Macaca fascicularis: one gene and its partners. The protein of the gene in region 4 purifies or fractionates together with the protein of the main gene of each other region. This does not show direct contact. Links are inferred from orthologs where the notes say so. Each region holds a gene or a part of one and is shown on either strand. Other genes may lie near its edges. The genes, in order: CDC45, SIRT1, ATR, TOPBP1 and PLK1.

What was found.
Region 1: the proteins of TOPBP1 (region 4) and CDC45 purify together in Homo sapiens (affinity purification with western blotting; 3 studies listed by BioGRID and IntAct, with this or other methods). This does not show direct contact. The link is inferred for Macaca fascicularis from reciprocal best matches to the Homo sapiens genes TOPBP1 and CDC45.
Region 2: the proteins of TOPBP1 (region 4) and SIRT1 purify together in Homo sapiens (affinity purification with western blotting; 3 studies listed by BioGRID, with this or other methods). This does not show direct contact. The link is inferred for Macaca fascicularis from reciprocal best matches to the Homo sapiens genes TOPBP1 and SIRT1.
Region 3: the proteins of TOPBP1 (region 4) and ATR purify together in Homo sapiens (affinity purification with western blotting; 8 studies listed by BioGRID). This does not show direct contact. The link is inferred for Macaca fascicularis from reciprocal best matches to the Homo sapiens genes TOPBP1 and ATR.
Region 5: the proteins of TOPBP1 (region 4) and PLK1 purify together in Homo sapiens (affinity purification with mass spectrometry; 3 studies listed by BioGRID and IntAct, counting the BioPlex papers as one, with this or other methods). This does not show direct contact. The link is inferred for Macaca fascicularis from reciprocal best matches to the Homo sapiens genes TOPBP1 and PLK1.

The regions. Positions count from the first base shown.
Region 1 is NC_088384.1:33,362,398-33,368,257, forward strand, and holds part of CDC45 (cell division control protein 45 homolog), read right to left. Parts: intron 5,111-5,860; coding exon 4,973-5,110; intron 3,655-4,972; coding exon 3,511-3,654; intron 1-3,510. UniProt on the Homo sapiens protein: Required for initiation of chromosomal DNA replication. Core component of CDC45-MCM-GINS (CMG) helicase, the molecular machine that unwinds template DNA during replication, and around which the replisome is built.
Region 2 is NC_088383.1:78,651,579-78,657,438, forward strand, and holds part of SIRT1 (NAD-dependent protein deacetylase sirtuin-1), read right to left. Parts: coding exon 5,711-5,860; intron 4,318-5,710; coding exon of another isoform or gene 4,313-4,317; exon of another isoform or gene 4,178-4,312; intron 2,615-4,177; coding exon 2,057-2,614; intron 1-2,056. UniProt on the Homo sapiens protein: NAD-dependent protein deacetylase that links transcriptional regulation directly to intracellular energetics and participates in the coordination of several separated cellular functions such as cell cycle, response to DNA damage, metabolism, apoptosis and autophagy.
Region 3 is NC_088376.1:45,366,220-45,372,079, forward strand, and holds part of ATR (serine/threonine-protein kinase ATR), read right to left. Parts: coding exon 5,700-5,860; intron 4,883-5,699; coding exon 4,704-4,882; intron 4,220-4,703; coding exon 4,028-4,219; intron 3,222-4,027; coding exon 3,031-3,221; intron 2,562-3,030; coding exon 2,409-2,561; intron 326-2,408; coding exon 133-325; intron 1-132. UniProt on the Homo sapiens protein: Serine/threonine protein kinase which activates checkpoint signaling upon genotoxic stresses such as ionizing radiation (IR), ultraviolet light (UV), or DNA replication stalling, thereby acting as a DNA damage sensor.
Region 4 is NC_088376.1:36,577,523-36,583,382, forward strand, and holds part of TOPBP1 (DNA topoisomerase 2-binding protein 1), read right to left. Parts: intron 5,054-5,860; coding exon 4,857-5,053; intron 2,531-4,856; coding exon 2,351-2,530; intron 1,632-2,350; coding exon 1,465-1,631; intron 1-1,464. UniProt on the Homo sapiens protein: Scaffold protein that acts as a key protein-protein adapter in DNA replication and DNA repair. Composed of multiple BRCT domains, which specifically recognize and bind phosphorylated proteins, bringing proteins together into functional combinations.
Region 5 is NC_088394.1:22,746,157-22,752,764, reverse strand, and holds the start of PLK1 (serine/threonine-protein kinase PLK1), read right to left. Parts: upstream 4,330-6,608; 5' UTR 4,313-4,329; coding exon 3,905-4,312; intron 3,166-3,904; coding exon 2,997-3,165; intron 2,246-2,996; coding exon 2,101-2,245; intron 1,088-2,100; coding exon 994-1,087; intron 1-993. UniProt on the Homo sapiens protein: Serine/threonine-protein kinase that performs several important functions throughout M phase of the cell cycle, including the regulation of centrosome maturation and spindle assembly, the removal of cohesins from chromosome arms, the inactivation of anaphase-promoting complex/cyclosome (APC/C) inhibitors, and the regulation of mitotic exit and cytokinesis.

The DNA of each region.
Region 1 (5,860 bases), on a different chromosome or scaffold from region 4:
TAGCTGGCATTACCGGCATCTGCCATTGCTCCTGGCTAATTTTTGTATTTTTAGTAGAGACGGGGTTTTTCCATGTTAGTCAGGCTGGTCTCAAACTCCTGACCTCAGGTGATCTGCCCGCCTCGGCCTCCCAAAATGCTGGTATTACAGGCTTGAGTCACCATGTCAGGCCGGTAAAAAAATTTCTAAGAATATACCTCTAATATACACATACTTAGTTATAAATCATGCACAGGTTTTAATTATATAAAAAGTATTCTTCTCAAGAATGCTTAATGTTATTAAAATCAAGGCTCTAGACCTAATTTACAGATCATAGAAAATGCAGGGATAGAGAAGCAAGTTAAAGTACTCCAGGAAGAAACAAGTAGTAGTAAATATTAGAAAAGATGACTGGCGGCCAGGCGCGGTGGCTCAAGCCTGTAATCCCAGCACTTTGGGAGGCCGAGACGGGCGGATCACGAGGTCAGGAGATCGAGACCATCCTGGCTAATATGGTGAAACCCCGTCTCTACTAAAAATACAAAAAACTAGCCGGGCGAGGTGGTGGGCGCCTGTAGTCCCAGCTACTCGGGAGGCTGAGGCAGGAGAATGGCGTAAACCCGGGAGGCGGAGCTTGCAGTGAGCTGAGATCCGGCCACTGCACTCCAGCCTGGGCGACAAAGCGAGACTCCGTCTCAAAAAAAAAAAGAAAAAAAAAAAAAAAAAAAAGAAAAGATGACTGGCCTGTAGTGTCATTAAAAACAAAACAAAAGAAAAAAAAGAGGTAAGGTACAGTTCTAGGTTAAGACAGCAAAGAGAAATAGCTAAATGTGTTAACCTTGATTGAAGAATAGTTCAGAAATAAAAATAGCTGCAAAATATATTTTGAGGACAATTAAAGAGACCTGAATATGGGCTGAATATTACCTGATATTAGCATATTATTCATTTCTTCTGCATGACAATGGCATTGTGTTTATGGGGAAGAATGTCCTTATTCTTAGGAGCTGCTTACGAAAGAATGTGTGGAATATCATGGTTTCTGGTTGGGTGTGGAGGTGCACGCCTGTAATCCTAGCTACTTGGGAGGCTGAGGCAGGAGAATCACTTGAGCCCAGAAGACAGAGGTCGAAGGGAGCCGAGATTGTGCCACTGCACTCCAGCCTCAGTGACAGAGACTCCATCTCAAGAAAAAATAAAATAAAAAATAAAAAATAATATCATAGTTTCTGCAACTTATTCTCAAATGATACAGGAAAAAGAATATGTAGAGAGAAAGCAAATGTGAAAAACTGTTTTTGTTTTTTTTGAGATAAGGTCTCTTCATGTTGCCCAGGCTGTTCTCGAATTCCTGGGCTTGATCAATCCCCCTGCCTTGGCCGCCCAAGTAGCTGAGACCACCTACAGTCATGATCCACTGTTGACTCTAGATTGAAGATATATGGATATTCACCGTACTATCCTTTCAACACTGCATACATTTCAAAAAACTTCAAAATAAAAAGTTGGTGGGAAATTATGCCTATTATATTTCATGAATATTATGTTAAACATTTACAAACATAGATTCCAAATTGATGTGTTAAGTATGTAAAAGGAAACGCTGATATTTTCTTGCATCTCATCAAGACAACCTACCTTCTCTTTGTTGCCAAACCCACTGGGCTATTCTCATTGGCCTGTTCCTTTGGCACTGCTGGCCGAGCCTTCCTTGAAACTTTCCTTCCCACCTCAGAGCCGCAGTGTCTATGGATGCTCTGCCCAGGAATCCTCCTGGCTCATCCCATGCTAACTCACGTTTGGTACCTGAAAGCTTTCCCTAATTGTGCTCATTTACATGATCAGTATCTGTCTCTCCCACTGGAAAGCTTTGCAAAGGCAGGACTTTGCTCTCATCCCTGCACCCCAGGGCCTAACTGGTACCTGGCACATAGTAAGTGTTTAAAAAATATGTTTATTAGTCAGAATGGAAAATTTCAAGACTTACCTGTAGAACATGAATGTTTCCAGGGAAAATCCCATTAGACACTGATATTTGGGAACCAATGAAATGCAGCTCATCAATAGTTAAAAGAATGCTATGGCCGGGCGCGGTGGCTCAAGCCTGTAATCCCAGCACTTTGGGAGGCCGAGACGGGCGGATCACGAGGTCAGAAGATTGAGACCATCCTGGCTAACATGGTGAAACCGCGTCTCTACTAAAAAACTAGTCAGGCGAGGTGGCGGGTGCCTGTAGTCCTAGCAACTCGTGAGGCTGAGGCAGGAGAATGGTGTAAACCCAGGAGGCGGAGCTTGTAGTGAGCTGAGATCTGGCCACTGCACTCCAGCCTGGGCGATAGAGTGAGACTCCGTCTCAAAAAAAAAAAAAAAAAAAAAAAAAAAAAAAAAAAAAAAAAAAGAATGCTATATATAAAAAAATTCAGAGAACAAAAAAGACCTCTCACAAATCAAAGATTAGAAGATAAAAACCAAGCTGAGTGTAGTGGCATGTGCTTACAGTCTCAGCTACTTGGGAGACTGAAGTGGGAAGATTGAGTGAGCCAAGAAGTTTGAGGCCAGAGAGAGACCCTGTCTGCAGGGAAAAAAAATAAAATAAAGACCAAAAAGTCTTCCAAAAAATAGAACAGACAAAGAGCTGGGCAAGAAGTAAGGAAATATAAGAGTAGATCCAAGAGATTCCTGATGAGACACCCAAACCTAGTGAAAGGGGTGACAAAGGTGAGAAAGAAGAGAGAAGCATGCCTCAGTTTTAAGGGCACTGCCCCTTCCTCAAATGGAGAATGTCCTGAATGTCTCAAATATGGCTCAAAAAGACTTCCCAAAAGCACACTACTGGGAAATGTCAGGCTGAGGATGAAGAGAAGACCTTAGGACATTCCGGGGGCAAATTCTAGGTCACACACCAAGATCGGGAGCCAGAGGGCATCTTCAAAACATCCTATGGCCCTCCGTGCTATAGGAATCACCACCTTCTGCCTATCGTTTTACATCTGGCAGAAGCCATAGTGTTGGGTAGGCCCCTGGGCCCAGCCCCAGATCGCTAAGCAGCTCAGACCCAAGGTCCACATGGTGAAAACCATTCGTATCTGTACATACAAGATACCTCCCCTGGAGTAACTGTCTGGGACTGGGCCTGGCCAAGGGATGCAGACCCACATTGCTCCTCTGCAGTGACTGCACAGTGAGTGATGCTAGAAGACAGTAGGAAAGGAAGGGGTGGGAGTTGCACTATTTATTGCTTCTCTACATTATTTTTTTGCTATCTAGCTGCAGAGCTGAGCTGTCCTAAATTTCATTTTATCTGACAGGATCCTATTGGATAGATAAGCCACTATTCAGGGAAGTCCAGTAACCTGCCTGAGGCCACACAACCAGGGGACAGCAGAGCCCAGGGTCAGCATCCATGCCTGTTAACTTCTCCACTTCCCACTGCCCTCAGGTACACCTGGGCCTGGCAGCCTTTAGGATGACCTCTGACCTCTGGGAGTGCAAGTTCCTCCGGGATGGCTGTGAGAGACCCAAACACACCTCTTCTAACCGTGTGCGCTTCTCAGAAGGCTCTGACCCATCGCTGTCATTTCCTGAATGCTCTTCATCCTCCTCTTCATCCCTGAAGATGTCTTCATAGGCGGGAACTTCAAGGTCATCATCTTGTTTAATGAGTAATTTGATCTAAGTTCAAAACAAAAAGGAATTAAGCCTCTCCTCTTTCTACGGAAAACTACACAATATGTTCTTCTGCAGAATCTCATCATTTCCTAATAAGCTGACTCAGTTTCCTGTTCATACAAATAGCTACCAATTTAATAAGAGTTCCAGGCTTCCAAGGAATTTTCTTGTTTTCATTACCAGTGAGGCACCAGAGTTACACCATACGTGGTATGCAGAAATTACGAAAATCTGAAAACAATTCTTTGAGGACCATCTAGTCTACTTAAGTCTAGAAACACAGCATCCTCTTATGTCATACATGAATAAAATGAATGCCCCACAACTTGGCCTCTGATAAAGGACATGAAGATGTGTAACCCCTAGATGACTAAAACTCCTGTCTAAAAGTAACTCCAGGCTGATTTTTCTTTTTTTTTTTTTTTTGAGACAGAGTCTCGCTCTGTCACCCAGGCTGGAGTGCAGTGGCCAGATCTCAGCTCACTGCAAGCTCCGCCTCCCGGGTTTACGCCATTCTCCTGCCTCAGCTTCACAAGTAGCTGGGACTACAGGCGCCCCCTACCTCGCCTGGCTAGTTTTTTGTATTTTTTAGTAGAGACGGGGTTTCACCGGGTTAGCCAGGATGGTCTCGATCTCCTGACCTCGTGATCCGCCCATCTCGGCCTCCCAAAGTGCTGGGATTACAGGCTTGAGCCACTGCGCCCAGCCTCTTTTTTTTTTTTTTGAGACGGAGTCTCACTCTGTCGCCCAGGCTGGAGAGCAGTGGCACGATCTTGGCTCACTGCAAGCTCCACCTCCCAGGTTCATGCCATTCTCCTACTTCAGCCTCCCAAGTAGCTGGGACTACAGGCGCCCACCACCATGCCTGGCTAATTTTTTGTATTTTTAGTAGAGACGGGGTTTCACCATGTTAGCCAGGATGGTCTCAATCTCCTGACCTCATGATCCGCCCGCCTTGGCCTCCCAAAGTGCTGGGATTACAGGTGTGAGCCACCATGCCCATCCAAGACTCCATTTCAAGTAAAAATATAAACAAATATTTTCTGAGCGTGGTGGTATGTGCCTGTAGTCCCACCTACTAACGAGGCTGAGGCAGGAGGGTCAGTTGAACCCAGGAGTTTGAGGCTTCAGTGAGCCATGATTGTGCCACTGTACTCCAGCCTATCTCTCAAAAAAAAAGATGACAAAGACCAAGTTCTTGTGTTCAGGCTGTTCCAATCCCACAGGATAGTCAGACACACACCTTACCAAGAACACCAGGTGAGACATTGTACATGGCATAAAAAGTACAGACAGTTTGAGGGCAGAGCACAAAAAGTACCTGGGTATTGTTGTACACATTGATGACATTGACTGGCCTATGGGTGTCACACACAAAGAATATAGTGTCTTCATCAGGTTGAAGAATATCCAACAGGTCTACATTAGCTCCACAGTTTATGAGAATAAAATGACGAAACTGAAAAAAAGGAAGATATTGTAAAGTAGCTATATCGAGGAGGCCCTTTTCCCTTCACCACTAAGTCTCTGAGTTGTTCTGCTTAAACTTACTAAGTCCCTGACATGTGGCAAGGCCCACGTGGCAAGGGATTCCAAAAAACGGCCAGGCTGGCATGCTAAGTGCTTTAGCATGGTGACAGAGCAGTGTGGGCCCTGGGGCTCCGTTTTCCCCAGGAGCACACTGAGACTCAGCAAGCCCAAGTCTTATGGACAGCTCAAGAAACTAAAGAGGAGCAGAGCAAGGCTTCAAGCACATGATTGCGTCTCTCCAGACCTCACGGTACTATGCTGCATGCCTCTCCAGGCTAATGGCATTGTACAGGTTTAAGTTTTCAGCAAATACTTTATTGGTACTTAAATATTAAGTCCTTTATCACACTCCATCACTATTGCATGTGCTTTCCTTATCAATACCAAGCTGGTGCAGGTCCTTGACATAACAACAGGAACACCAGGAGAGGACTTGTCTCTGCCAAAACAATCCTAGATATGGCCAGGGACTCCAGGGTCCCTCTTCCATGTCCCATCCCCTCTCTGTGGGGTCTACAATGTCCCATCTCTCATTTGGCCCCATGCAGAGGTGGGAGGAATCCTGGCATCTATTGTTTAAATTTATTCCTGTATTTCAAGTTGGAAACCAGGATGCATTTTCTTGGAGAAATAATATAAAATAGTAGTGTATTCTAAAATAATTTTAACTAATTCCAGC
Region 2 (5,860 bases), on a different chromosome or scaffold from region 4:
TTTCCCTCTATTACAACAGATACATAGTACTCATCAGTTTCCTAAGACACCACAGGCAGGGCACAGTGGCTCACACCTGTAATCCCTACACTTTGGGAGGCCAAGGCAGGCAGACTGCTTGAGCCCAGGAGTTCAAGATCAGTCTGGGCCATGTGGCAAGAACTTGTCTCTACAAAAACTAAAAAAAAAAAAAAAAAAATTAGCTGAGCATGAGGGCACGCGCCTGTGGTCTCAGCTACAGCTACTCGGGAGGCTGAGGCAGGAGAATCGCTGGAACCTGGGAGGCGGAGGTTGCCGTGAGCCGAGATCACGCCATTGTACTTCAGCCTGGACAGCAAAAGCAAAACTCCGTCTCAAAAAATAAATAAATAAAAATGTAAAAAAATAAAAATGACTGCTCCAGGTTAACTCTGTTTCCTGGGAAGAGATTTATGCGTTTGACACATCTGCCAAAATGACATTCAAGAAAAGTTCCCAGTGCAAGTCTTAGTGCACAAGTAGACTTTGTATATGATAGAGACGACTGTATATTACCTAAGTCAGTAGCAATTTTTCTACTTTCTGACTTCTGCCACGATTTGCAAACATAAGCATCCCTCTATGCTTTTTCTAGTTTCCCCTGGGAACACGTCTGCTCTTTTTAAATCCCTACCTATTGTTAAATATTTTGCTCCTTAGAAAGCCTTGTATAATCTAATCTCCAAGTACAATCTACCTTTTGGGGCTGGGCATGGTGGCTCACGCCTGTAATTCCAGCACTTCTGGAGGCTGAGGCGGGTGGATCACAAGGTCAGGAGATTGAGACTAGACTTACCAACATGGCAAAACCCTGTCTCTACTAAAAATACAAAAATCACCCGGGCATGGTGGCGCACGCCTGTAATCTCAGCTACTCAGGAGGCTGAGGCAGAAGAATCACTTGAACCTGGGAGGTGGAGGTTGCAGTGAACTGACATTGTGCCACTGCACTCCAGCCTGGGCAAGAGTGAGACTCCATCACCAAAAAAAAAAAAAAAAAAAACCCAAAAAAAACAACCTACCTTTTGGGTGATGTTTTGTTCAAAACAATACTATTTTGTTCTTCAGCAGCACCTATACCAAAGTATTAATGAGTAACACCCACATTTATAATTACATACAACATTAATCACTGTGTCTCCAGAACTTACCACAGTGCCTAATATGAAAAAGGCCAAAGGTTTATTCAACTGAACTACAATGTATTTACAGCAAATGACTGGAATACTCAAATACAGTTGTCTAAAATTTGTCAGTTTTCACCAAGTATGGTAAATGGAATGAGACTTAAGAGTTCTAAATTATAGCTAAGTTACAGTGGTTTTTTTTTTTTTTAACAGTATTTTTCTAACATTAAGTTAGGAATTTCGACCAGACTACTCGGACTTAAAACATCAGCTTCCGAACAGTAGAAAGTGATTTCACCTATGTCAATTAACACTGATTGATAAAGACTATGCATGTTCTAAACAGGGTAGAAACTATTCCTATATTCAGTGGAGAAGAATCACGGATTCTTTCCAAGTCCTCAGAGGAAACACAGATGTGTTCTAAATCTCAGACAACACTGCATAGTAGTTAAGGGGGCAGGCTCTAAGCACAAATAGACTGGAATTTTAATCTGGTTCTTTCACTTCTTAGTATTTACCGTGCATGAGGTATTTAACCTCTATGGTCCTGAGTTTTCCCACCTGCAGAAGAAAATAATAGATTCTACCTCAGAAGATTAAAATCATGTAACATATGTAAAGCAGCTAACCCACAATAAGCACCCAAATCTGTCATTGTTTCCGCCAGCTAATAACCCATTCTTATTTTTCCATCCCCTAGAGAAAACATACAGAGCACTATTAAACACTTCCTTCTCTGTATTATGAAGGATACCAGATTTACCTTTCTGATTACGAACTGTACAGTTTCTCTAAACAGAATCAACTACATAAAGCTACCCTATCGATTAACCTGCCGAAATAGCTAATTTTTTGGAAATATTGTTATGACAACTATACTTTCAAAATGGTTCGATTGCCTTTCTTACCATCAAGCCGCTTACTAATCTGCTCCTTTGCCACTCTACTAGGCCAGCATTTTCTCACTGTTCCAGCCACTGAGGTTCTTTCATTTTTCTCCCCAGTACTGGAACCAACATTCTTCAAATCCGGATTTCCCATGTGTTCAGCAATACTTTCAACATTCCTAGAAGTCTGTACTTCCTGTGGTTTTTCTTCCATACGACCTTTTGATTCAGACACATCTAAATCATCATTACTCTTAGCTGCTTGGTCTAAAAGTGTGACAATCACTGAAGAATCTGGTGGTGAAGTTCTTTCTGGTGAACTTGAGTCTTCTGAAATATGAAGAGGTGTGGGTGGCAAGTCTGACAAATAAGCCAATTCTTTTTGTGTTCGTGGGGGTTTTTCAGTAATTTCTGAAAGCTTTACAGGGTTACAGCAAAGTTTGGCATATTCACCACCTAACCTATGACACAATTCATTAATTATGACATCACAGTCTCCAAGAAGCTCTACATCAAAATGCAGATGAGGCAAAGGTTCTCTATTAATTAATATCTGAGGCACTTCATGGGGTATGGAACCTAAAATAGGGTGAAAAATAAAAGTTAGAAAAAGGGAGGAAGAAGTAAGCTAATAAAACCACAACAGATACATTACACAAAAATCCAACAAGGGCTTGAGCTCCAAATTTCCAAAAAAAACCCATGAACTAAATACTTAACCAAGCCATTACATTTCATCAAGCAAGCAGATAGGCAGTTAAATGTCTTTTATAAAACGTTCAGGTTCTGCTCCTGTCACCTGGTTACCCCTGAGCAATATTCCCAGACTTTCCCACTCTGAACCTCAAATTTCCTTGTCTGTAGAATGGGGATAATAGTACTTTTCCACAAGACTGTGAAGATTAAATGAGTTAATAAGTCAAGTGCATAGAAGAGTTCTTGGCACATAAATGTTCTACTTAAGTAGCTCCTGATATAAAGAAGGTGAGCCGGGTGCGGTGGCTGACACCTGTAATCCCAGCACTTTGGATGGCCGAGGCAGGCGGATCACCTGAGGTCAGGAGTTCAAGACCAACCTGACCAACATGGTGAAACCCCGTCTCTACTATTAGCCGGGTGTGTGGTGGCGCATGCCTCTAATCCCAGCTTCTTGGGAGGAAAAATGCTTGAATCCAGGAGGCAGAGATTGTAGTGAGGAAGAGACTGCAGTGAGCCAAGATCATGCCATTGCACTCCAGCCTGGGCAACGAGGGAGGCAAGGAGGACGGGAGGAAGGATGGGAGGGAGGATGGAAGGATGGGAGGGAGGATGGAAGGATGGGAGGGAGGATGGGAGGAAGGAAGGACGGACAGAAGGATGGACTGATGGGAAGAAGGACGAATGGACAGAAGGACGGACATACAGAAGAAAGGAAGGACAAACAGAAGGAGGAAGGATGGAAGGATGGAAAGATGGAAGGAAGGGAGGAAGGGAGTGGGGGGGAGGGGAGGGAAGGAAAAAAGTCATACAAATAAATTCTACACTATTGTAAACCTGTTTCTTTTTTTAATTATCTTTGCAACACACCATACTATCCCACAGAAAGCTTTCGAAATAAAAAACGGGGCGTGGTAGCTCATGCCTGTAATCCTAATGCTTTGAGAGGCAGAGGAGGAAGGATCACTTGAGGCCAGGAGTTTATGACCAGCCTGGACAACAAAGTGAATCCCGTTTCTACAAAAAAAAATTTTTTTTCATTAGCCAAGCATGGTGTGCGTGTGTGATCCTAACTACTGGGGAAGCTGAAGTGGACGGATTGCTTGTCCCCAGGAGTTCAAGGCTGCAGTGAGCTATAACTGCACCACTGCACTCTAGCCTGAGCTACAGCAAGACACCCATCTCTTAAAAATAAAAATAAAAAAAGCTTTTAAGCAGAGTGCCTCTGAATTTGCTTTAAAAAGAGTAACTCAAGAACAAAGGGACTTGTATATTACATTTTCATGTTTCATTTAATTGCAAATTGTCTTGTATTCTACTTTAACAGAATTTCACAGCTAATTAGGTAAGACTGAGTTAACTGCTAAAGCCACAAGATATGGGATAGACACAAAATTGAAGAGCTTGACTCCATGTTTCCTTCAACTGTTTACTCTGGCTGCCTTGACTGCTGATGTGGGGTCTAATTAAATTCTCCGGCTAGGGATTTAATATTGTTTCCTGTCCTCTTTCTCTCACTTGTGAAAGGATACATCTGATGCAACTGAAATCTCTCTCTCTCCTCCTCCTCCTCCTCTGATTCTAAACTAGAGGAGAGAACAGTATGAGAATACATATGACAAAGAAATGTTCCTGAGAGTAACAGGGATTTAAATTTTATGTGAACATTTTATAAACACACCCTTTTGGGTAAACTAGACCAACATATCACCATTATGACTTGGCTATTATTACAACAAGAATGAACCAATCATTTTGAGCCCCGAAATTCCATCTTACATGGTACGTTACACTTCTACCTTCTACCAAACTATATATTTGAATTTATTAAATGTGAAATCAATTAAATTTGAAAGATCAACTGTAATCTTAAGAATAAAAATATGAGGATTAAGGACCATTTCATAAATTAATTGATGCTAACATTAAAAACACATTCCACCAAAAAGTCTAAGTTACACTCTTTACCTTTGTCTTAATTTTTCACATAAATCAGAAGTAGAGTTTAGCATTACTTGTGGGGTTTTTTGTTTTTGATTTTTTGAGACAGAGTCCCACTCTGTCGCCCCGGCTGGAGTGCAGTGGCACAATCTCGGCTCATTGCAACCTCTGCCTCCTGGGTTCAAGCGGTTCTCACACCTCAGCCTCCCACGTAGCTGGAACTACATGCGCACACCACCACGCCCAACTGATTTTTGTATTTTTAGCAGAGACAGGGTTTCACCATGTTGGCCAGGCTGGTCTCAAACTGCTGCCCTCAAGGGATCCACACACCTCGGCCTCCCAAAGTGCTGAGATTACAGGCATGAGTCACTAACGTTACTTGTGTTTTGACAACCCTCCACACCCCATCAAAATGTCAGATTCACCAGTCTCAATGAACAACAATGCCACATAAAAAATAGTTGAGCCAGATGTGGAGGCTTGTGCCTGTAATCCTAGCTACTCAAGGGGCTGAGGCAGGAGGATCCTTGAGCCCAGGAGTTCAAATCCAGCCTGGGCAACACAACAGGACCTCATCTCTACTATAAATAAACAATTTCTGGCCGGGCATGGTGGCTCATGCCTGTAATCCCAGCACTTTGGGATGCCAAGACGGGTGGATCACCTGAGCTCAGGAGTTCGAGACCAGCCTGGCCAACATGGCGAAACCCGGTCTCTACTAAAAATATAAAAAGTTAGCCAGGCATGTTGGTGGACAACTGTAATCCCAGCTACTCAGGAGGCTGAGGCAGGAGGATCGCTTGAACCCAGGAGGCGGAGGTTGCAGTGAGCTGAGATCACGCCACCGCACTCCAGCCTGGGCAATAAGAGGGAAACTCCATCTCAATAAATAAACAAACAATTTCGAAAATTAGCTCTTCACCACTCTTTCAAACAGAAGCAGAGTAAGATTACTAGAGTTAGGGTCTATTATACAGATCCACAACCCATGACATTATATATAGAAATGATCTCCAAAAGCCATCACCAACTTACTTGGAATTAGTGCTACCGGTCTTACTTTGAGGGAAGACCCAATAACAATGAGGAGGTCAACTTCATCTTTGTCATACTTCATGGCTCTATGAAACTGTTCTGGTAAATTTTCACCAAAAAACACAATCTCTGGTTTCATGATAGCAAGCG
Region 3 (5,860 bases), about 8.8 Mb from region 4:
ATGTTAAATTCTAAAACTAAAAGCAACATTTGCTTTACATATTCAACAATAAACATAACCCTGCATATATAGCCAGAGAATTATGATCTTTCCAATAGAGTGATATATTCAAATTAAAATCTTAGTACATACATTAGAATCTTGGGAACTCTGTTACAAGAATTCTGCTGCTGCAATAAGATAAAAAATCCACTAACACAACTAGCCCGGATTACTTCATGGGAGCTCTGCAGGGCCCAGTTGTAAACTGCTGTTCTCCATTCAAGGAATATTCTTCTTGGAAACAGAGTCAGAAGAAACACACATCGTGACTGTGCCTGTGGTGCTGAAAAAATTAAGTCTGTTAAACATGATTTCTACTAATGTTAATTTTATGTATACACATATACATATGTAACATTTGTGTATATATAAAAAAAGTCAAGTAACATTTAAAATACATTTAATACCTAATTTAATTAAAAGCTCCTTTTCAGAAAATAAAGTGCACTGAAAAAGGTCTATACACAACCTTACTAAATAATCAAGGAAATGCAAATTGAAAATCATACCTACCAGATAAGAAAAAGAAAAAAGTTTTATAACTCCATGACATTTTTTATTTTCTAGATAGCAAAAATTTTAAAGTCAGCTAAGTGTCAGTGAGGATGTGGAACTCATACTCTGCTAACAGGAGTGTAAACTGGCATATCTTTGGAGAACAATACAGCAGAATAGAGGTGAAGATGTGCAAACTCTATAACCCAACAATACTACTCTTACGTAGGTAAAAACGTTAAAAAGTGCTTCTCAAACTTTAATATGGATATGAATCACCTATCTTGTTAAAATGTAGATTCTGATTCAGTAGGTCTGGGTGGAGCATAAGATTCTCCATTTCTTTATTTTATTTTATTTTTTTTTAAATGTGCTCTCTCAGCAGAATCAAAGATGCTCCATTTCTAACAAGTCCCTAAATGGTGGCGATGCTACTGGTCTGTGGACCATACTTTTCAAACAGCAAGGCCTTAGAATGACTAAAGAATCATTTATAAAAATATTCATTTAAATGTTGCATGTAATTGTGAAAAGTTGGAAACAACGTGATTGTCCACCAATAGGAGGTCTGATAGTGTCTATCCATACATTTGGCTACTATTTGGAAGTTTAAATAAAAACTAGAGTTACCCATATCACCAAGGATAAGTCTCATAAAGATAATGTTGACCAACAAAATGTAAGCTGTAAGAAGCAAAACAATTTCTTTTATTATTTACAAATAAACACATATATAGTAAAAGTAATAGAACATTCAACAGAACAATCAACACCAAATTCACAACAGTAGTAATCTCTGGGGGAAAAAAATGAGGGGAATGAAATCATAGAGGAACAAAGGGCTTCCATCATATCTCTAATATTTTTATTTCCTTTTTAAAAAAAATTTCATGAAGAGAGGGAAGGGTGAAGAGAAATTGACTTTAAAGGGCTATGATGTTTTTATTTCTTTTTTCTTTTTTTTGAGACAGAGTCTCACTCTGTTGCCCAGGCTGGAGTGCAGTGGCGCAATCTTGGCTCACTGAAACCTCTGCCTCCTGGATTCAAGAGATTCTTGTATCTCAGCCTCCCTAGTAGCTAGGACTACAGGCACAAGCCACCATGCCTGGCTAATTTTTGTATTTTTAGAAGAGATGAGGTTTTGCCATGTTGGCCAGGCTGGGCTCAAGCTCCTGACCTCAAGTGATCCACATACCTTGGCCTCCCAAAGTGTTGGGATTACAGGCGTGAGCCACCGTGCCTGGCCTAATGTTTTTGTTTCTTAAACTGAGAAGTTGGTATAAGAATTTTTGGTATATTGTTCTTCTTTTTAAAATATTTCTCAAATACTTCCTAATCTTATTAAATGAAGATAATGACACGTGAGGATACATTGCAAATGTTTTACAAAAAGAAAGGAAATGGGATATGTGGGTCAGGATTTTATGTGTTACTTTTTATATATCTAACCCCTTTCTGAATTATTAAAAATATAACTGCTCTTTTAATTATTGAAAAAAATTTAAATAAGTCTTAGAAGTCCTATATAGAGGTGAGTTAAAACAAACCACACAAAGCCGGGCATGATGGCTCACGCCTGTAATCCTAGCACTTTAGAAGGTTGAGGCAAGTGGATCACTTGAGGTCAGGAGTTCGAAACCAGCCTGGCCAACATGGTGAAACCCCACCTCTACTAAAAATACAAAAATTATCTGGGTGTGGTGGTGCACACCTGTAATCCCAGCTACTCAGGAGGCTGAGGTAGGAAAATTTGCAGCAAGCCAAGATTGCGCCACTGCACTCCAGCAAGGATGACAGAGTAAGACTGTGTCTCAAAAATAAATAAATAAATAAAACAAACCACACACAAACATATTCTTGTGAGCACTTACAATAGCTATCTGAAATCCTATGGCTTAATGTTAGAAGATTAGTGGCAAATGTGGTTAACTTTAAACTGCCATCATCAGAATGGGAATAAATCCATGGAAGTGAGAGCATTCCACATAAATCTTCCAGGATATGATCTTCAAATGAACTGTTTACTACAGAAGCACAAAATAAGTCATTAATTATAATTTTTCCTTAATCATATCTCTTTTAAACAAAAATAAAGACATTTGAAATACCAAATACTGTTATAATGATCATTCGATAAGAAGAAAATTCTTAACACAGAGATCCATAAATGATGGTCTGAGGTCTGTGAACCCAAAGAAATTAAATGTGACTTTATAAAAACATGTATCTGTGCCTTTTTTAAAGAAGAACCACAGCATTCCTCAAACTCCCAAATCAAAAAACTTTAAAGTTATAAATAATTTCTATTGACTAAAGAATCAAAATATTACGCACATAAACTGGCAACTCAGAAATTGACAAATTTAATAGAACTGAAATCAAGAACAAACTTCTGGGTATTCCATGCACTTAGGCTTCAGGCAAAAAAGAAAGCGTATTTCTATACTGATTATCTTTAAAGGTTATTCTGATCTATTGCTTATTTGTACTCACCTTGCATATAAATCAAAGCATCATAAATTTTCACCACCTTATCAATGGTTGCCTCCAGGTCTGGTTTCTGAACAGTTTCTAACAAACTTCTACAGCTCTTAAGCACTTTTGTGTAAAAATCCAATGACATCCAAGTTATCACTACAGAAGGTTTCTTCTTGGATTTGTGTTGACAGTCCTTGAAAGTAGGGCTGCAGTAAGTACATTTTATTAAAGACATTGGAATTAAGACGAATTTTGTTATAGTCAAACGTAAAATTGTAGTAAAGCCAAAAGAAATTGTGAGTACAAAATTTACAACAATTTAAATATGCAAATCAAGTAATCATTATTTTAAATTTAATCTATTTATGTCAGCTTAAATCACCCTTAGGATTTGGGAACTAAAATTACTTTGGGAGGCTGACATGGGAGGATCACTTGAGCCCAGGAGTTTGAGAACAGCCAGGACAATACAGGGAAACCCATCTCTACAAAAAAAATTTTTTTTAATTAGGGTATGGCGGCGTATGCCTATAGTCCCAGCTACTTTGGAGGCTCACTTGAGCCCCGTACGGAGATCAAGGCTGTAGTGAGCCATGATCATGCCACCGTACACCAGCCTGGGAGACAAAGCGAGACCCTGTCTCCAAAAGCCAAACACTGGGTTTTTGAGTTGTACACAAATGTGTTCTGGTACTTTCTAACCATGCGTCCCCAAGAAAGTCAGTTTTGGCTTCAGATAAAAAAGAGCCTCAGTTTCTCTGAGTGTCAATTTCTAATTTTTAAAATGGGCATAACAGCATTTACCTTAGAGGACTACTGTAAATATTAACTAAGATATATACAGTGCTTAGCACTGTGCCTAGCATTTGACTCAATAGAAAATAAATTTCTTAACTACTTCAGTGAAAAGTTTGTGTTCTAAGGTCACATGATTCAAGTGAATAATGAGTAAACAGTAAATCCAAGTTCATTACAGGAAACCCAACCCCAAGAAACAAGAAGTTTGTTTTACCAGTTCATGTTTTGATGAGAACAATGAACAGTACACAGAGCAGTCAGTTGTAAGACAACAGCGATTCCTTCTAACATCTCAATAACAGGATTCTTTAGGCCACTGTATTCAAGGGAAATCTGAAGGGATTCAGCTTTCTGTTTCAGTGCACTCCATAATACGCTCTTTTGGTTCATGTTCACATGTTTAATTCTATAATTATGAATACAGTAGAGAGATATTCTTATGCAATATAAATTTGGTTAAAACATGAAACATCTTTAGAATAAAACATACTATGTAATATCAACTATTGAAATTCATATTAAGATTTAAAACAATTAAAACAATGTTCAGAACTGAAATATAGCAATTATTTAGCTACTTTATAAAAACTGTTTGTTAACATTTTAAAAATTGCTAATAGATGCACAGTCTCAAAGATTTTTCACCTATTAAAAAGTTAAATTAGATAAGCATGTAAAAACATGCAAACTAACTATATTTAACCATGAAATGTTTTATACTACTGACAGTCTACAAGAATTATTAAAATATTTTAAGCACTCCCTTGGCTACATTTAGAAAGATGTTCTTTGTGTATTTAAATCAAAGCACTTAACTAATAAGTTGATTTTTAAAAGTGAACAAAGTTTTATTTAATGGCTAAATACAAACTGAATGAAGGTCATCATACTCCTCAGTCTGTTTTGGTGCTCTTTTAGAAGGGTTTAGAGATGAGCTGAGACGACGCCTTTTGGGTGATATTCCATCACTATTACTGCTGAGGTTTTCCTGTTGAGTTTGGCATTGAATCTCCTCAATGATTTCCATACTTTCCACTTTCAAAGCTGCATAAAGTGGGCCCAACAAGTACTGAGAAAATAAAAAATAATTTCCAGAAATATTCCTTAGAAAATATATTTATATTATTCATAGGTAGCAAGAATGTATTAGATGTTAGTCAGATGTTTTCTAGTGAAACTACTTTTAGAGTCTCATAAAACAAAACAAACATCTAAATTGATCTATATTATTTAAGTCTATATATAGACTATGGTTCTATAGTCTCAGAAGGTTTAAGACAAATCCTTCTCTCTATATCCTGTTTTTCCTCTTACCAAAATGCTATAAATTTTAATTCCCTTATAAAAAATGTTGTAAGGGAATTACCAACTTTTTTCATGTAACAAATCCAGCAAGATTAATAAATTAAAATATTTAATCAAGTTACTGCATCTCTGATGATTTTATTGTATTTCCTGACTCCCACAGTCCAAACAGAAAAAAGCACATAATTTGGCATGATTAATCATTCATAGGTTTTCTAAAAGTGATTGATTATAACTTGTCAGACACAAAATCTATTTGAGTGATCAAAGCTTCTGCAATTAAGTTGATAACTGCCCCCTTTTAATTAATAATGCAACAAATACATTTACACATCACAGATTCTACTTAGAAACATTCTACTCCATTGGCAGTTCATTACCAACTTAAATAACAAATCCTTCTGAAATCAAAGTAAAAGTCCATAACAGTGAGCCAGACTACACAATGAAAATCATTATGTTCCAAATATAAATTACTATTAAAGATATTCCATTTCCTTATTATTACATTTTGCACATATGTATACAATTAAATGATGAACAAAATACATACTTAACAAGTAACCTGAAAAATTACTTACCTCTGCATCTACCTGAATTCCAAGCACATCCAAAAGAGCTTTACAAATATTTGTCACATAGACCTTCCTGACTTGTAAAGCAGATTCATACCCAGCTGGCACAAATTTAAGAAAATACTGCAGTAAATGGCACAAAGCTGCTTTTAGCAAATCAGACTTAA
Region 4 (5,860 bases):
ATTGCTTGAACCTAAGAGGAAGATGTTGCAGTGAACTGAGATCACGCCACTGCACTCCAGTCTAGGCGACAGAGCAAGTCTCCATCTCAAAACAAAAACAAAAGCCCACCTTTTGTTTAGCTAGTAAGTTGGTAAGTTAAAAAAAAAAAAAAAAAAAAAGGTAATTTGCTAAATTTCCTTTTTTTTTTTTTTTAAATTTTGAGATGGAGTTTCACTCTTGTTGACCAGGCTGGAGTGCAATGGCACAATCTCGGCTCACTGCAACCTTCGCCTCCTGGGTTCAAGCGATTCTCCTACCTCAGTCTCCCAAGTAGCTGGGATTACAGGCGCCTGCCACAACACCTAGCTAATGTTTTTGTATTTTTAGTAGAGATGGGGTTTCACCATGTTGGCCAGGCTGGTCTTGAACTCCTGACCTCAGATATCTGCCTGCTTGGGCCTCCCAAAGTGCTGGGATTACAGGCATGAGCCATCACGCCCAGCTCCAATTTCCCTTCTTAACAATAAGGTAAGGTTAAATTTTTGCTACTCTGTGAAAATTAATGCACAGCCAAGTCATTCTACAAATAGGAATACATTAAGTTTTCCAATCTAAGACAGCCGAAAAAGTATAGCATATGATGTTTCCATCAACAAACTCATAAGACAATTATTCATATACTAAAAAATTAAATAGCCCAAGAAATACCAAACAAAGCATTGGCTCTAATGGTAAGGAATACAGACTTTGGAGTAGATAACTGGCCACTTAATGTCTCTCTGTGTGACTCTGAACAAGAATTTTAATTCTCTAAGTCTTACCCTCAAGATAATATCCATTTTAGAGTTATCTGTGGGAATTAAATGAGATTTTATATATATATTAACATACATAAAATGATTAGTACAGTGTCTAATACACTGTAAACACTTAGATGATAGTTATAAATAAAAGTCCAAACCTGGGCAACATAGTAAGACCTTGTCTCTACAAAAAAATTTTAAAAACTAGCCAGTTGTAGTGGCACATGCCTGTAGTCCTAACTGCTTGCGGACTAAGGGGTGGCTGATGCCCAGGAGTTCGAGGTTACAGGACGCTATGATTGTGCCACTGTATTCCAGTCTGGGCGACAGAGTGAGACCCTATCTCAAAAAAATAAAAATAAAAAATCCAATAAGTCGTTCAGAAACTAAGTGCTCTCAAAATACAGCAGATGGAAAGATTAATGTAGTTAGGAGGGTTCAGAGAAGAGTTAAAACCTGAAATGAACTTTTAAAAGGTAACAGAGGAAGATACCTCACAGGCAGAGGGACTCTTGCAGCCAAAGGATGGACATGGTCTAGTAAGCACATCTACTTAGCTAGAGTGGAGAGTTTACATAGGTAGTAAGAAGCAAGCCCAACTCTGAAGGGTCTTCAAAGTCAGGCCAGGAAATGCTAATGCATATCATCACTTAATGCATGTATTATATAATAAAGACGTACCCGACAACCATCTAATAAATCTTCAGGTGCTTGAAATGCACTGACATCCAGATTTTCTAGATTTTCAAGTGTAGGCTCCAGTTTGCTGTTAAGTGAATTACATATTGATTCACTTATGCAACTTGCATTTATGTTGGAAATATTGCTGACATCTGAAAGAGTACGACCTACATATTTTGAAAACATGTATAAATTTATGGGAGATAAAATAATCGTGATTATATATTGTCTATGGATTAACTTTTCTTACAAATATAGGGCAATAAACAACTTCCAAAGTAAGATTCAGGGGTGTTTACTGAAATCTTAGTGACAAAGTATAAAAAGGGAAAATGAAATTAATTAAGCCTCTTATCTTATTTAAATGAAAATAGATTTAACACATTTTCCTAATAGTGTCTTGTTTCCCATAAAAATCTGAAGTTGCTGACTTTAAGGTCCAAGGGGCTTACATTTGAAAAAATATTTTAAACATTTTGCCAACACAACACCTACAAAATAGAAACTGTTTTAATTTTTATACAAATACAGACGATCTATAACAACTGCAGCAAAACCGTAAATTAAGGAAAGATTAATATATGCATGTCAGTAATGTTTAAAAGATTAATACTTGTATCTTAAGCCTCCATCTACCATTGTTCTTAATTTCTTTGATCATCTTTTGCATTACATCAGGGTATAAAAGAAAGCATTCATTCATTCTAAAAAAAAGTTATGAACAGTTCAGTACTAACTTTTCACACAATTTGACTATTATACTATTATGCCTAGAAGCATAGCAAACAAGAAAAAGAAATTCCCTATCTCAGTGATTCTATTAACATACTGATTATTACACAGAAATATGACTGTCTTCAGAATATTTAATCTCAGTGAGACTCACTATCAATTGTGTTGATCTGGCCAGTAGGAGTTGAAGAATTGGGCATAGTCTTTGCTTCTGGTCTAGGTTCTGTCTTGTACATGGATTCATCCTGACAAAAACCTTTCTCGATACTGTCAAAAAACCACTGCGTGGTCACACAGTGTACATTCCATCTCTTGGCACACTCATACTTCTGACCTGTAGCGTTAAGAAAGAAATAGAGAAAACAGGAGAAACCAAGAAATGAAAACCATTAAAATCTATCTTTGCAGAAATATTCAAATTATAACAGGTTTTTTTTTTTTTGAGATGGGGTCTCACTGTGTTGCCCAGGCTGGAGTGCAGTGGTGAGATCTTGGCTCACTGCAACCTCCACCTCCCTCCTGGGTTCAAGCGATTCTCCTGCCTTAGCCTCCTGAGTAGCTAAGATTACAGACACGTGTCACCACGTCTGGTTAATTTTTTTGTATTTTTAGTAGAGACAGGGTTTCACCATGTTGGCCAGGTCTCAAACTCCTGACCTCAGGTGATCTGCCCGCCTTGGCCTCCTAAAGTGCTGGGATTACAGGCGTGAGCAACTACACCTGGCTGTAACAGGTTATTTTAAAAACCTATCAACAAAATTAAAGTTACCAGTACTTACTCTTAAACAGTATGCTACATAGTTTATTACAAAGTAGTATTTTAGCTTACTGCCTAATTATATTTTCTATGTGTTGCATAAATACACATGCCATGTGAGAGTGTTTATCTTTTACACAAACTGCAGGAAGACAGGAGCAACTGTGGGGTAACTGAATTAATACTGGACTTGGGTTTGCATATAGGCTCCATCATTTACTTTCTTTAAACCAGCTTGTACAATGTGAAAATTGTAAATGTGTGCAATATAATAAATCCCAACTTTGAACAGACTATTCCAATGTCAACAGGCTTCTACTTAAAGTCCAGGATAGATAAGCCAATAGATAAATTACGTTAAAAATATGTATCTTTTTATTACCTTAAAAATCTTTAACACAATGTATTTTGAAGCAGTATCACAGAGGAATTGAGGTCAATATGTCACATGAAACGTTTTTTGGCATTCTTGAGAGAATCAACAATGAACAGTCTTCAGATTCAGAAAAAGAACAGCAGTATCAACTCTACTCACAGTGATCCTATCACAACTGGCCATACCCAAAGTTCTGACTTAAGGACAATTACCATTTAATCTTAATTTCTTCTCAATCTAGGTAGCTTAGTAAAACATGGTACACATATAAAAGGCAATAATAAAAACATTAACAAAACTCATCTTTTATCAATTTGTGTATATTTTAAGAGTGCTGATAAAAAATCATCCAAAATAATGTTATGGAACACCAAACCTAACAGCAATTTTTTTTTTTTTTTTTTTTTTTTGAGACGGAGTCTCGCTCTGTCACCCAGGCTGGAGTGCAGTGGCCGGATCTCAGCTCACTGCAAGCTCCGCCTCCCGGGTTCACGCCATTCTCCTGCCTCAGCCTCCAGTAGCTCGGACTACAGGCGCCCGCCACCTCGCCCGGCTAGTTTTTTTGTATTTTTTTAGTAGAGACGGGGTTTCACCGTATTAGCCAGGATAGTCTCGATCTCCTGACCTCGCGATCCGCCCGTCTCGGCCTCCCAAAGTGCTGGGATTACAGGCTTGAGCCACCGCGCCCGGCAACCTAACAGCAATTTTAAAGAATTTTTATTGTTGGTAATGTCTTCTTCATTTTTTACTGCCTCATGTTCCGCAAGGTGTGTCTTCCAGTTAAAACTTGTAGTTCATTCAGTCAAACTAAAACTAAGTTAAGCCTTTTTAAATTAGTCATTAGAAAGAAATGCCAATTAGCTATATTTATTAGTTTTCCTGTTATTTACCCAAACTTCTTGTCATTATTTGGTAATTGTGTGAGGAACATTTTTAAAAAATCAAAAGATACAAAAGTAAGCTTAAATAAAACATCACTAAAAGTTTTTGGTTTTTTTATACTTACTCAATGACCTGAATAAATATGAAAAAAAGTCATATAATCGGTTTACAGATTGTGACCCAAACTACCTTTGCAAGATGTTAGAGAAAACAGTATCAAACTAGATTAATGACATGTCAGAAATAAAAGCTGTTCTGTAAAGATTTTAAAATATTAAATACTAGTGGCTGGGCATGGTGGCTCATGCCTGGAATCCCAGCACTTTAGGAGGTCAAGGTGGGCAGATCGCTTGAGGTCAGTTAGAGGCCAGTCTGGCCAACATGGTGAAGGCCCGTCTCTATTAAAAATAAAAAATTATCCAGGCGTGGTGGCAGGTGACTGTAATCCCAGCTACTCGGGAGGCTGAGTTGGGAGAATCACTTGATCCCGGGAGGCAGAAGTTGCAGTGAGCTGAGATTGTGCCACTGCCCTCCAGCCTGGGCAACAGAGCAAGACTCTATCTCAAAGTAAATAAATAAATAAAAATAAAATATTAAATACTAGAGAAAATGTTTCATTTGTCCCTTTGTGAAACACAGTTTTACCTTTTGGTTCTTGCACAATGAGGTGTGTACATTCATTCATTTTCAATTGTCCCATGTATTGACCTCCATGCTTAACTGTGAGTTGCTGAACTTCCTTCCTGTCTAAGCCACATAAGCCAGTCACACAGATTATGCAACCAAGAAAAATAGGACACTTGAAATCTTCCATGTTTATATCAGTATATCTAGTTATTTTTCTGTGGGAATGAAATGGTTAAAAAAGAAAATATTAAATTTACCAGAAGAATAATGAAAAACAACACAAATACCACTATTGCTTTCCTCATTTTTTAGGATTTAAAATCATTTTTTTACAAAGGAGAACCACCAAACAGAATTACACTAATTACTCACCGAGTTCAATAACATGTCTCTAACACAAAGTAATTGTTTCAGATACAGTCTCTCAAAACCATTTTAAGGGAAAAATATACATTTCCTTAACTCTAGCCCTTGCTGGTCACAGTGGTATATTTTCCAAAATTGTAAGTCTGAATCTCTACTTAAAAACCCAAAGGTAATTTGGTTGCCTATTAGAAAAACGAACTTTTTAATCTTCCCATTATTCTATATAAGTAAAAGCAATGATTTCTGGCAAAATACCAACAAAAATATCATTATTCTGTTGCCATGCAAGGCAGATGTGCTGATGAAGTAATCACATTGGGAATGAGAGTTGCTGACATGGAGACATACTTAGGATATGCCGGATGGTGTTGAAAACAAGCCCAGAAAAATGCCGATATAATTCGTATGCCAATAGAATTCTGTGGTATTTGGTCTTGTGGTTGTTTATCTAGTTGCAGGGGAACTAAAGTGCGCCCCTTGAAATAAGCTCTAAGTTCCATGAGGGAAGTGACTATCTGTTTTGCTTACTAAATATAACTAAAGCCTAGCTCGGGTCAGATATGTAAAATGGGCTCAGTTAACATTTATTAAATAATCACATCTCAGCTGATGACTTATATATGTTTATATTCAACCTTACATATGCCATCTTTTGG
Region 5 (6,608 bases), on a different chromosome or scaffold from region 4:
TAGTCCCAGCTACTCAGGAGGCTGAGGCGGGAGAATGGTGTGAACCCAGGAGGGGGAACTTGCAGTGAGCCGAGATCGCATCACTGCATTCCAGCTTGGGCGATACAGTGAGACTCTGTCTCAAAAAAAAAAAAAAAAAAAAAAAAGGAAATTGCACACCACTATGCCATTAGGAAGCCCTGGGATTCAGTGATTCATAATTCTGTGAGCACTTACTACATGTAAGGCACTCTGTGAGGTGCTCCAAGGCAGGAACTCCACTTTATAGACGAGAACTATGGTTCAGAAGATGCAGGCCAGGCTGGGCATGGTGGCTCATGCCTGTAATCCCAGCACTCTGGGAGGCTGAGGCGGGTGGATCACCTGAGGTCAGGAGTTCGAGACCATCCTGGCCAACGTGGTGAAACCCCATCTCTACTAAAAATACAAAAAAAAAAAAAAAAAAAGCCAGGCAAGGTGGTGGGTACCTGTAATCCCAGTTACTTGGGAGGTTGAGGCAGGAGAATCGCTTGAACCTGGGAGGTGGAGGTTGCAGTGAGTCGAGAGTCGAGATCATGCCACTGCACTGGGGAACAAGAGTAAAACTCTACCTCAAAAAAAAAAAAAGAAAAAAAAGAAAAAAAAAAGATGCAGGCCATTTGCCCAATGTGATCTGGCTAAGTGGCAGAATCCATTTGAATTAAGATAATCCATTTCCAAAGCTTAAGCACTTTAGCCTCCTACTCCTTCCTACCTCCTTTGTTTTTTGCTTTTTACGCAACTTTTGGGCTACCCAATCTCTTGAGAATCTGCCAACTCTCTCCCCCTAGAAAAAATGCTTATGTGCACATACATGTCAAGTTCTGTATGTAATTTCAGACACAGGCCCTCGCAAGCTCTGTGGCTATCCTAGAGGTGGGATAGACCTATTTCTGGTCTTAGGATATTGCTGGGCTCCATAAACAGCTTTTGGGGAAAACAAAATAAATGTAAAGTTAAAGCATCATTAGTCACCTTGGGAATACTGTATTCATTCTTCTTGATCCGGAGGTAGGTCTCTTTTAGGCAAGAAGTCTCAAAAGGTGGTTTGCCCACTAACAAGGTATACCTGTAAGCACAAGGTAGGATTTGGCACCAGCCTCCCAGCCACAACCCAGACATAAGAGAAATCATCTCAGGGTCAGAACAAAGACCAGGCATCCTCTGGACACTCACTGTAACTCTGGGGCCCCTGAAGACAACCAAGTCCACTGAGCAGCCCCAGGAGCCATAATATTGGCTAGAATGAGCCCTTAGCAGAATACACGTGGTGAGACTAGGATTCTTAGGGGCCAGTGATTTTTTAGTTGTGGCCTGTGGTCATCTAGGACTCTGCAAGGGCCTCAGAGGCTGCCTGTCATGCAAAACAGGTCAAAGGGCTACCTGCACTTACAGAAGCAGCTCTACCTTTAGCAATTCTGTACTTAAGTCTTCAAGTTTTCATTTGGAAAAACCCCACTGCGAAGATGTATGAAAGTCACTGCTACAACTCATTTCTAACTCTCCAGTACCTAGGCCCCAAACAAGAAAGGTAATACCTGAAAAGGCCCAAGCCTCTGCCTGCCACCAACCGCTGCTGATGGTCTCAATCCAGACAGACCACTAGCACGTCATCCTTCCATCTGTAACTCCTGGCCTAATTTCCCCCACCATGCTAATGTTCATCAATGTTTAAGACCTTATTGTGCACGGGAACTACCAAGGGACCTTGTTAAAAAATCCAGATTCTGACCCAGTCAGTAATCTGGGTCCTGAGATTCCGCATACAGGTTCCCAAATGATGGTGATGCTGCCCTGTGGACCACTCTAGCAAAGGACTAGAGTAAGGTTGTGGAGACGACTTCTCCTCCTCCTTCTCCTCCCCCTCCTCCTCCCCCATGTCCTAGGCTGCAGAAATCCAACAGGATACACCAGTGACAGGGAAAGATATGGCAGTTAGGCTTTGTTTGGGGGTAACCTGTCCCCTGCAGTAGGTTTGCTGTAAAGCAGGCCGAAAGGTCCACAGAAAAGGTCAGCCAGGTAGGATGTCCCAAAGTTGCCCCTGCTGAGACCAGGTAGATCCAGAGATAACTCCCAACTTACATGATACACCCAATAGACCACACATCCACCTCGAAACTGTGCCCTTTCTTGCTCAGCACCTCGGGAGCTATGTAATTAGGAGTCCCGCACAGGGTCTTCTTCCTCTCCCCGTCATATTCGACTTTGGTTGCCAGTCCAAAATCCCCTGGGACAGAGGGAGGAAGAGCGGGTACTTAGATGCCAGCCTCTGCCATCTGTCAATGCAGAAGGCTAGTTAAGGTTTGACCATCAAGAACCAGGGCCATTTGATCCCACAAGCTTCTGCTCCTTGTACGCAGCAAGGCTTGCCCAGGAATCTTCCCGCCATGCTGACACCAGGGAGGTGCCTCCAGTGACCCTTCTCACCCCTCCCCTTAGAAAGGGGCTATACTTCGAAACGGGAACTGGCAGGGATAGCAAAACTCCAGTGCCTTCAAGGATCAAGCAAGTTAACCTCCAAGACTTGGCAAGTCTGTGAAGAAGTAATAGGGAGGAGTAGAGACTGTGGCAAACAAGTCTGAAGGGGACAGCTGCTTTCCAGCCCAGCAAAGGACTGCCCTAAGAAAATGCTGTCCTCGTATTACTGGAGCTTTCATGACTGTTTAAAAGGAGCTCTAAATCAAAATTTTTATGTCAAACCTTCCAATTTAAAAAATAAAAACAAATTCAAATTCTTTGTAAAAAAAGAAAAATGCTGTATTGGGGCACAAAAAATAATGCATCTGTAGGCAAGATACTGACTTGTGGGTTCTTTGTTTGAAATTTCTGGACTAAAGAGAGAATTCTAGAGGCAATCAACAGCCCAAACTTCCCACCATCCTCTTCCTTCCTCCTGGTCTCCTTCCTTTCTCCCAGCCTCCTCCAAATTCCAGCCTCTTGGAGTGATGTCAAGCACCCCTGCAGGCTCAGCAACTCACCTATTTTCACCTCCAGATCTTCATTCAGGAAAAGGTTGCCCAGCTTGAGGTCTCGGTGAATAACTCGGTTTCGGTGCAGGTACTGACAGCCAAGCACAATTTGCCTTAGGTAGTATCGGGCCTCAGGCTCAGTCAGGGCTTTCCTCCTCTTGTGCAGCTCCAGGAGAGACTGTGGATGGGAAGGAGAGGGCAGGAGGGATGGGGAGGTGGTATTGAGGCCGGTGGGGAAGGGAGAGGGTTACCAGGCAAAGGAAGCACAGGACTGGACTCTGGACTCCCAAAGGATGAAAGAGGGGTCTTGGTGGGTTTCTCTCCTTCCCTATGCCCCCACCCCATTCCTTCTCCAGGACAACTGGCATCTGGACCCTGCCTTAACACTGTCCACAACCATTCACAGCACCCCTTCTCCTACTAGCTTTCTCCCTTACCTGGGGGTCCTCTCTCAGCCCCACTCCGGAAGTCCCCAGCAGCAGATCCCTTTCCTGACTCTTATCTCCCTCGGAAGGCCCGAAGTCTAGCTCCAACTACCCCCTCACTGACCCAGCTACACTCCGGAAGCTCCCAGTGCCCGGCATCACTAACCTGGGACTCCTCCCTGGCCACTCCAGGGCCCTAGCGTCCATTACCAGCAGCCCTCCCCCCAAGTACCTCGCGTCCAGAAGCTGACCTCCCTATCAGCAACATGACTCAGACTCCACTTCACTGGAACCCCGTCCTCTAGCAGCTCCAAGAGCCAAGAAGCCCTTACCAAAGGCACTTTCCATACCTAAGAGGGAGGCTCCCAGCACCCTTCTCTACCAGCTCCAAGTCCCAGGTACTCCCTTCCTGGGCACTCTTTCCAGCAGCTCCAGGTCTGGGCGCTCCAACTGCCCCGCAGGCAGTTCCAGTTAACCAGCAGCGACACTCACCCTCCGGCGGCAGAGCTCCAACACCACGAACACGAAGTCGTTGTCCTCGAAAAAGCCGTGGAATCCTACGACGTGCTGGTGGGCGAGGCTGCGGTGAATGGATATTTCCATGGACATCTTCTCCCTCTGGTGCGGCTTAAGCAGCAGAGACTTAGGCACAATCTTGCCCGCGAACACCTCCTTGGTGTCCGCGTCCGAGATCTCGAAGCACTTGGCAAAGCCACCCTTGCCCAAAAAGCGGCCCCGCACATAGCGCCGCCGGCTGCGTGGGTCCACTAGGACCTCCGGGATCTCTTTCGCCGGTGGAGCCGCCGCCGGAGCTCCAGGAGCTGCAACTCCGGGGACCCCGGCTTTCCCAGAGTCGGCCGGTGCCCGTGCCAGCTTCCCTGCAGTCACTGCCGCACTCATGCTCCTGGAGCTGCTCTGCTGACCTGGATCCGAGCAGACGCTCCGCACCGCTCAGCTCCTCCCCGAATTCAAACGCGGCGCTGGGAACGTTACAAAAGCCTGCGCGCCACTGATTGGCCGCGGGGATTTAAAATCCAAACCCGCCCGCCGCGCGGCACCATGGGAGCGCCCTGCGCAGCAGCTGCCTTTAAACCCGGACCCAGCCGGGGAAAAACTTGATTGACAGGGACGCCCGAACACGTGGGATAGCCTGGGAAACCAAATCCGGCGTGGATGCGGAGACCCAGCCCCGAGAGGGGAGGAATTCCTTCGGGGTTTCTCCCTTTCTCGGGCGTCCGGGAAAGCTCCTGCAGTTCGCTTGCGCCTCCTCCAGGAAGCTTTTCCTTAAATCTTCCTCCACTTCCACCCCACCTAGAATATAAGCAATCTAAGAGTAGGGAACTGGCATGCCAGCAGGTCGTTTAAGAAAGCCTTAGCATCCGCCTCCCGATGCCGTCAGCTCTCAGCCAAGCCACCCGAACTGAACTAAAATCTAAGTAAAAGTGTGCTTGCCAAACATACCTTCATGGCTAGTCTGCTCCTTCAAATAACTGCCGCTTCTGAGCTCCTCCGGATTACAAAGCAACGCTGCTTAAAGAAGGGGCCATGGAACAGCAGCATCGCCATCACCTGAGAGCTTGTTAGAACCGCAAAGGCAAACATTCAGGCCCTACTCCAGACCTCCCGAGTCAGTGTCCGCCTCTCAACAAGACTGCTCAGGTGATTCCTACACATCCTGAAGTTGGAGAAGCACAGTACCAGAGTCCTCCATGATGCAAGGAAGCTGTCTGGCCTGCTCGCTACTGAATTTCCCAGGGCCTAAAATAGTGGACACTCAGTTTCTTGGTCAGAGGGACGGAAGGTTGGAAGAATGCCTAGCAAACTGGCAGGTCATAGCCAAATGTGTCTTGCAGGGTTTTGTTTGGCCTCCCACGTGTGTGTGTGTGTGTGTGTGACGGAGTCTTGCTCTGACTGGAGTGCAGTGGCACAGATATCGGCTCACTGCAACCTCTGCTTCCTGGGTTCAAGCAGTCCTCCCGCCTCACTGCAACCTCTGCTTCCTGGGTTCAAGCAGTCCTCCCGCCTCAGCCTCTCAAGTAGCTGGAATTACAAGCGTGCACCACCATGCCCGGCTAATTTTTGTAATTTTAGTAGAGAAGAGGTTTCACCATGTTGGCCAGGCGGGTCTTGAACTCCTGACCTCAAGTGATCTGCCCACCTCGGCCTCCCAAAGTGCTGGGATTACAGGCATAAGCAGCCATGCCCGGCCATTGTAAAACATTTACAGCATTTAAAAGAGGAGGTCATAAAAATTTGGATTTGTGGCCTTTCCTGAAAAAAATCAGCTCTAGCTACTTAACTCTGTGCCTACATGCTTTCAGTTTGCCACAGTTCCCATTTACACCCCTTTGTTCTATAGGTACTTGAGTGGCAACCCTGGAACAGCAAAATACCTAAGTTAGAAGCTCTTTCTCTGTGCCTCCTTAGCACCCTCTGATCCTTCATAGAGCCCAGCAAAAATCAACCATACTATAAGTATCCTTCACCTGCCTTGCAGCTAAAGGGAAGGGCAATGAAGGCAATGAAGGCAATGATGCTGTCCTTTCCACCCCATGTCCCAAGCTCCCAGAGCAGTGCTTGGTAAAAAAAAAAAAAAAGGGTACTTACTAAAATGTTGGCTGAATAAAAGGAAGACTTTGAAAAATTAAGTTATTTAGTACCCCTATGGTGTGAATAATTCTTTTTATTGGAATTTAATATACTTACAGAAAAAAATGTACATATCATAATTGTACACAGAGCTCAGTGAATTTTCACAAACTGAACACATCTGTAAACCACACCCAGATTGAGAAAGAGAACATGACAAACACCCCGCAAGTCTCCCTTGTGCCCTGTGCCAGGGGTGCCACCACCACCTCCTAGTCTGATGATGTACTAGGAGATTCACAGACTCAGCCTGTAATCATACTTATGGCTATGATTTACTACAGCAAAAGGCTAGGAAGCAAAATCAGCAAAGGAAAAAAGTGCATGGGCAAAGTTCAGGGAAACCAGGTGCAAGCCTCCCACGGTCCTCTCCCAGCAGAGTCACACAGGACACAATTCCTCCAGCAATCAGCTGTGACAACCCATACACACTGTTGTGTACAAGGGAAGCTCATTACAGACTCAGTGTTCAGGGCTCTGATTGGGAGCTGGTCACTTCATCCTCTGCCTAACACATATGAAAATCCAAGACTCGCAGAAGGAAGGC